Rhinolophus ferrumequinum: one gene and its partner. The protein of the gene in region 1 interacts with the protein of each later gene in a biochemical or structural test. Links are inferred from orthologs where the notes say so. Each region holds a gene or a part of one and is shown on either strand. Other genes may lie near its edges. The genes, in order: HIP1 and clathrin light chain B.

The links.
Region 2: the proteins of HIP1 (region 1) and clathrin light chain B form a complex in vitro, tested with the Homo sapiens proteins (2 studies listed by BioGRID, with this or other methods). The link is inferred for Rhinolophus ferrumequinum from reciprocal best matches to the Homo sapiens genes HIP1 and CLTB.

Annotation. Positions count from the first base shown.
Region 1 is NC_046290.1:92,837,121-92,841,025, forward strand, and holds the start of HIP1 (huntingtin-interacting protein 1), read left to right. Parts: upstream 1-1,474; coding exon 1,475-1,594; intron 1,595-3,905. UniProt on the Homo sapiens protein: Plays a role in clathrin-mediated endocytosis and trafficking. Involved in regulating AMPA receptor trafficking in the central nervous system in an NMDA-dependent manner. Regulates presynaptic nerve terminal activity.
Region 2 is NC_046307.1:6,084,767-6,088,671, reverse strand, and holds the start of clathrin light chain B, read right to left. Parts: upstream 2,650-3,905; 5' UTR 2,421-2,649; coding exon 2,234-2,420; intron 1-2,233. UniProt on the Homo sapiens protein: Clathrin is the major protein of the polyhedral coat of coated pits and vesicles.

The DNA of each region.
Region 1 (3,905 bases):
ACGACCCTCCCACAGGACAGAACTTCCCCTCTCCAATCTCCTGCAGGCTTCATTGTCTCTCACCTACTGCTCCAGCGTCCCCATTGGTTCCCTCCCTTCCCTCTCGCACCAAGACCTGTCCACACAATGTCAGCACAGCAAACCACAGTTCTGAGCAGGCGCTTTCAGTGGCTCCCTCCTGCCTGTAAAAGACCACCCATCTTCCACTTCTCTATTGAACGTGTGAATTTTTATCAAAAGCTGTTAAAAAAAATTAATGCCTTTATTTACTTCGAGTTTCAGTTTTTGGGGTTTTTTTAAAAAAGATTTTTTATTGGGGAAGGGGAACAGGACTTTATTGGGGAACAGTGTGTACTTCCAGGACTTTTTTCCAAGTCAAGTTGTTGTCCTTTCAATCTTAGTTGTGGAGGGTGCCGTTCAGCTTCAAGTTGTTGTCCTTTCAGTCTTAGTTGCAGGGGGCGCAGCCCAACATCCCTTGGGGGAGTCTAACCGGCAACCTTGTAGTTGAGAGCCCACTGGCCCATGTGGGAATCCAACCGGCAGCCTTCGGAGTTAGGAGCACAGAGCTCCAACCACCTGAGCCACCAGTCTGGCCGTCAGAGTTTTTTTAAACACCAAAATTCACGGAAAACTTCTCTAACATTCTTTAGCATCTCTCGTTAAGCACTTCCCTCTGCCTGTCGGTACCTTGGCTGACGTCTGGGCAGGATGGGAGGGGTGGCCGGTCCAGATGAGGAGAGGTTTGAAAGGTGCGGGAGGTTCCCACTGACCCAGCCCACGTGCGATCATTACAAAGGGGATTGGCAGGGATTCAGGGCACCGTCAGGATGAGGGAGGAAGCCGAGGGAACTGGGTCTGGGCCGCCACCCACGGCGGCCAGGTCTGGCAGACACTGACCCACCCTGCCCGGCCTGGGGGCAGCGCTTCCAGGGGCTCCGGCCCAAGCTCTCAGTCCCCGGCCCTAAAGGAGTAAACAGGGTTATCCCGGGCGGGCCCAGAGCCCCAGCCGTAGGCCGGACTCCAGTCCAGCGTGACCTCCGCCCACCACGCGGGGATCTCGCAGTGCCAGAGGCTGAAGGAAAGAGGCTCGCGGGGCAGGGGCGGGCGCTGGGAGGGGAGGTGCACCGGCGTCGGGGTAGGGGCGGACAAGGGCAGGTCAGGGCCGCCTCCAAGCCTGCCCCGCCCCGCTGGGGGCGGTAGGACCCAGTGACGGACAGGTCTCCGGGCCGGTCACCGCGCGCCTCGCGGTCCAGAGGGCCCGACCCGGCGAGGCACTCCGAGGGGCTCCGGAGGGGCGGGGGCGGGCGGGGAAGCCTCTGGTGGGGCGGGGCCTCGGGAGAGTAGCGGCGCTCCCAGCCAATGGGAGGCGGGAGATGTCCCGTTAGCGCCGGATCCCAGCGGGTCGGGCGGGGCGGGCGGCGCCGTGGGGATCCCAGGGCGGCCGAGGGCCCCACACTCAGCTTGGTGCGGCGACATGGACCGAATGGCCAGCTCCATGAAGCAGGTGCCCAACCCCCTGCCTAAGGTGCTGAGCCGGCGCGGGGTCGGCGCGGGGATGGAGGCGGCGGAGCGAGAGAGCTTCGAGCGGACTCAGGTGGGGACCAGGGGATCCCAGGGTATGTGTGGCGGGGGCATCCCGGGAGACGCGGTGTCCCTAAGGGCTATGAAGGGAGTAGGGGTCTTGCAGGCCCAGGGAATGACGGGACAAGGGGGCCGGGAGAAAGGGGCATCTGGTGCTCAGGTCTAGGCGACCCGGGAAGGTCGGGGACCTGGGCATCCCAGCTGGCCTGGGGGAAAGGGCAGGTTGTCTCCGAGGAGCTGGCATGATCTGCGCGGCGCGGCTGAGAGGAGCCGGTCCCGGCGGGGCAGCGCTGGGGTCACAGGGGCGGTGACTTGGGGAAGAACCGAAAAGGGGCTGAATGGAAGGAGTGTCCCTAGGCAGGGGGAGCGCACTGGGAGCCACTGGGAGACCCAAGTGTAGCGGCGGAAAGTAGGGAGCGGAGTTGGGGATATGAAGGGTGAGAAGTCCTTTCCTCCCCTTTCGATCGCTTCTCAGTTGCACTGACATACCCCCAACCCCTAACACCCCCTTCCTGGTGCCTCTTTCTTGGCTCACACCACCCCCAGCTGTCGGCTCTTGGAGGCCTGGCCATAGGGGTCTGAGCGGTGAGAAGGAATGTGGGAAATGCGAAGTGTGGCCGAGTTTGGAAAATGGGAGCTGGAGGAGGGAGGCGTCCAGGGGCAGGAATGGAGGCGTTTGGCCCGATAGCCCAGTGCTGGTGGGATGAGCTGCCCGGTGGTGCCCAGAGCCCTGACTTGGGTTTTGGTTTCATCCACCAAGGTGTGCCTGACAGCTAATAGGTAGACTGCCTTATTTGTCCAGACTGACCAAGGCTGGGGGCCAAATTCCTCTGTGTCATCAACGAAAAGCTACAATCCATTTTTACCTCAGTTTTAATGCCTGGTGAATTGATTTGACTGAATCACGCTGACATGTTTATGGTGTTCATCACGTCGTTTGTATGCAAAAATCCATTTCAAAGCAGGCAGCACTTCTTTTAATCCCAGTGCCAGAGTTGTATGGGCAGATTGGATCTCACTCTTGCTCTCAGAGTGAAACCTTTGAAGATTCAGCTGAGCCTCCACTGCCAGAGGCTGGTTCCCTTGCTCTGTTCTGCGTTTCTCCCCAAACTTTTAGATAGGAAAGATTGTGAGGATCTGACTGAGTGTTCTATATATGGAATCTTGAAAAGAATAAAGCTTTTCATCCCAGGGACTTCATCCTTTCCTCTTTCCAGCCACGTCTGGCCCTTGAAGGTGTATAAGGGTGCTGTAAAGTAGGGAGCGTCCCCTCCCTGGGCCATCCTGCCTCAGGCAGGATGGGAGAGTTGGCCATTCACTTCTGCTCCCAGCACCAATCAGGGTTTGAGGCTCATTCTCTGGCTTTGTGGACCACACTGCTGAAAAGGAGAAAGCTTTCCGTCTGCCTTGGGTGTGACTGCCTCCTCGAGCAGCCTGGTGACATGTGACTTCTTGCTTCAGGAAACAGTGTGAATATTCTTCTTTTTTTTTAATGGAAAAGGAAAATAAATAGGTGGTATTTTATGATAACCCGTTCCTTCTAGAGTCTCAAATAAGTAAAAACTGGAGCAATAGAAAAGTATACATAAAATGTGACCCATTATAGTGGTGGAAATTAAGTTTGTGAAAGTTTCCAGCTATGATGGGTAGTCCCCTCCTGATCCAGGGATAACCCAACAAGGAGAGTCTAGATTTTTCTGCAGAACACTTGTAATTGGCTGAATTTCACCTAGTGTTTGGGAGTTGTTATGGGAATGCAGAGTAGACTGGAGGAGGAAAAAGAGAGTTTTGCTATTGTTGAAATTATTAGGGAGGTAGGAGAGGAAAGAGAACAATCCAAAATCTTAGCATTAGTCAATCTGCAAACACTTACTAAGTTTAATGACTACCTATCAAATATATTATGCTATATAAAAATAACTTAGAAAAAAAATTTTAATGAGGTAAGAGACCATGAGAATCAGCCAAGGTATAATGATAATTGTAACTAATTAGTGTTTGGCACTATTCTAAGTACTTTATTGTATTACCTTCTTTAATCTCCACAAAGACCTACGAGGTGGGTATCGGCCACATTTTCCAGGAGAAAATTGAGGCACAGGGAGGTTAAGTAACCTGCCCAAGGCCACACAGCTAAAAGTGGTCCCAATCTTTAAGCACTACCTTGTGTTGCCCCTGGGCAGAGCACTGGCATGGGATCTAGAAGAGGTTTGAGTTTTATAGCTGGGCACATGGATAGGCTATGTGGCCTCGAGGAAAGTTGTCTAACCTTTTTAAGCCATGGTTTCCTTATTGTAGGAGATAATACTTACCTTGCAGGTTTA
Region 2 (3,905 bases), on another chromosome or scaffold:
AGTGTCCATTGCACAGGCTCCAGCCCACAGAGGAAAGACTCAATGTAGCTCAGGCTCAGGCCTACACAAGACACCTCTTTTCCCAGGGGCACCTGGGGCCCAAGTCAGGGCACTCTGTGCAGGGGCATCATCTAAGAGACAAGACTCAGAGGTGCTGACAGGCAGCGGTGCTGACAGGAAGCCAGCTTCCACCCAGCTCCCGGCAGGCCAAGGCACATGTTCCCCACCCATTTGGCTTCTGGCACTCACTGCTAGTCCAGGGGGAATTACTTGCTCAGCACCATGTAGGCTTAGGAGGGCAGATCAATTCCATCCTTTCTGGCCACCTACTGAGCTGCCAGCCACGATACCTCCTGGATCCCCCTGCCCCACTCAGAAGGGCATTTGCAGCTTTTGCAGTGTGAAATTGTGAGTCCCACAGACCCTCACAGGGCATGTCCCTGCTTCTCTCCCTGCCACCTCAGGCATGCGGCCAATTCATGCCCCACCCCTGCCAGAGAGGGAAACTCCCATCCAGGCTGTGAGCCCTGAGAGCCCCACTGTCCTGGGAGAGGCCACAACCCGCTCAACTCCCGGACGCCTCTGGTTACCTCAGCCTGACTTCTACTGCTTCTCTCTCAGGGGGTTGTGACATCTGCTGTTTTCAGCAGAGCATCCCCCAAGCCAAGCCAGACTGGGGAAGCTGGTGGTCTCAAGGAGGAGAAGTGGACAAATGAATACTGGTGCGTGAACATGGGCAGGCATTTCCTAGGATGTGCAAGAGTCTGTCCTGAGGTGCTAGGAGCTGCCGCTTCAGAAGACCTCCACTGCTGGTTTGGTTGGGTAGCAAAAGACCGTCCCCTCACCCCCACATCCCATCACCTCCCAAGATAACTGCCGACCGCCCTGCCGTAACATGTGAAAGAGCATGGAGCCCAGACTTGGGAGGTCTGGGAATGGATCAAGTCCCAGTTCTGTCACTCACGGCTGTGTGACTTTGGGCAAGATACTCAATCTCTCTGGGCCTCCACTTTCTTATATGTTACAAAAGTCTTGTTACATTTCTCAAAGCAAGGGGCTACAGAGAGCTTGAAGCTCCTCAAGTCACAGAAACTGTCTTACTCATGTCTGTATCCCCAGTGGGCCTGGCACACAGAAGGTGGTCGCTAAATGTTGAATGAATACAAACATAACTCTAAGGAGCCTTACTTGTAAACATTTTCTTAAAATATGTAAGCTACCACTGACTCCAAAAGGCCCAGAAACCCCCACCAAAATAACGACATTAACAGAAAGCAAGTGCTGTGTTGGATGCACCCATGAAGGTGATATCTACTTTTTTACTAAATGTTTTAAGAAATTATTCTTTCAAGCCAGAACCAGAACAGAAACATCATTGATAAACGTGCTGTCACAAAGACCAGGCCCCGGACCCTGTGTCTGAGGCTAACCACAGCAGCCCTGGCCCACCTTTGAAAAACACCACAGGGCAGGACCACATGTGACTGTGCCCTGCCCCCACTCCCTTGGTGTCTAACTCAGAGCCAGGCATATGGAAGACAATGTGGTCAGGTGGAGAGGGCTTAGAGTCTGACAGAAACAGATTTAAACGGTCGCTCTGCCACTTACCAGTTGTTTTAGTACTGTACTTTTTGAGCCTCGATTTTGCTATCTCTGAAATGGGTTTAATAATGCACATAAAATTATTAAATGTAAATAAAGTGCCTAGCCCAGTGACTGCAGGACGGCAGGTGGTCCCCAGGGAAGGTGTGTGAGTTCCTGGAGCACCCACTGTCCCCTGCTTTCCCAGCTTTAGGAGAAAGCTAAGTCTGAAGGGCAGAGAGGTCTGCGGTTCTGCCCACATTTTCAGGGCTCAGCTGGAAGCCCACACAGCCAGGCGACTACTACCCCAGGCCAGATTCTCAGGGCTGGGCACCATTGGATTCCAAAGCTTCGCAGTGGTGAAGCTGGCCAGGGAATGAAATGTCATGACGAATTCTTGTCCCAGGAGCCACCAGATCCACAACCCCAGGCGGGCCCTCAGATGAGAATTTCCAAGATTCCTCCGCATTTCCCCCCCGGGCCCGGCTCACACACTGCCCCAGGCCTGCTCCTGGCTAGTGGCGAGCAGGCGCTCTGCTTTCTCCCCGTCTGCGGCCCCGTCCAGTTTAGGTGAAGAGGCCCCGTCTGCGCTGCCTGGTACCCCGGTTTGAGGCGCAGGCCCCCCGCTGCCCAGGCCACGGCGCTGACTCACCCCCATTCGCGGGTCCCGGCTGCGCCAGGACCGCCTGGCCGCCGGCAGGTGCCCCGAAACCTTCGTCATTCTCTATGCCCGCGATCTCACTTTCCTGCTGGGCCAAGAAGGCAGCCGCCGGGTCCTCCTCGGCCGCCTCGGGGGCCCCGCTCAACGACGACGAGAAGAAGCCAAAGTCATCAGCCATTTTCCCTGCGTCTCTGCTGGAGGGTCCGCCTGGCGCTCGGCTCTGCCCGGCGCGTGCCCGGCGCTGCGCCCCGCGGCGGCGGCACAGTCACCCCAGCGCCCAGGGAGCCGACTTCTGCGGGGACGCGCTCGGTGTGGTGGGCCCGCACTTCCTCTTCGCCACCGGGCCCGACTCTCCTGTCACTGCGGTGCGGACGGGAGGAGCCGGGACGGGAATGCGGTGATGTCACCGGCCGAGGGAGGGGGCCCGCAGGACAGCCGGAGGTCGCCTAGCGGCGGCCACCGGAGGGCAGCAGCAGGACGGTGGCGCAGCCCGAGGGGCCCCGAGGCCGGGGCAGCGCTCTCGTTCCCTGCCAGAGGGCTCATTTCCAGGACACCAGGACACCGCACAGCTCCGGCCGGGTCTACAGGGGAAGCTCACTGCACAAAGTGGCCATAGCGTGCACAGGGCCACCGCGGCGGGCAGCCCCGACCTCCAGAGCACGGAGAGGGTGGCCGCTGCGCGGAGCTTGCTCCTGGTCCACTCTGCAGTTTCTTCACCTAAACTGGGTGGATATTATAAATTTCATTATTATGAGGCCAAGAGAGGTGACACTAAGTCCCACAGCGTGATTGCATCTTTGTTGCAAGTCCAGAGCCTTTCCCACCAGGACGTGTTGCTTTAGTGCATTTCTCTTCATTTGGGGTGGCTTCAACTCAGATCGCCAGAGATTGTATGACCTGACTGCACCCCTGCTTAGAGGCTGGGCCCCTCAAATGTCCAGTCTGAGAAAGGCGGACAATTGATCGAGGCAGCCTGCCAGCCCCCACCCAGTCACCCTCACTACACAGTGTCCGAACGCCTCCTCCCTGCCTGTGCTGTGCCAAGCACTAGGGCGACAAAACGTAGCAAAACCAGTCTTGGCAATGGGGAGAGTACAATCTATCAGACCAGCAGATGGCAAGCGGGCCCTCACAGCCCGTGTGCAGGTGCTCTGACATTGAAACGGGGTACCAGGAAACCCGGAGGGGCTTTGGGATCTTCTCTTTGCGATTTGCAACTTGAACATCAACGATGAACTGGAAGAGAAAAAGGAAAGATACACCCCAAGCTGTGGTAGCAGTTCCCTTAGTGGGTGGGGGCGTGGCAGTAGGGTTGGGGTGAAGGGGCCTTTCAGGCTTGCTCAGTAATACTTTGATGTAGGTTTCACTCTCACGATGAGAATAGTATTAGTAGTGTAAACAAGAAAGAAATTTAAAGCCCTGCTTACCTGGTCCAAGCACACCGCTCCACCTTCATCTCACACCTCTTCCTCATTCCCCCAACTACAGGCTGGGGTGCTGGAAAGACCTGGAAAGTTTGCTTGTTTGACAGACCTGCCCTAAATGTCAACTCCAGATTTTGTGGAGACAGAGGACTAGTGAACACGCTATGTGCTTCCCCATTGTCATCTCCACCGGGTGTTCTGATTTAATTTCCTTTTCAGATTGTTCATTGTTCGTGTGA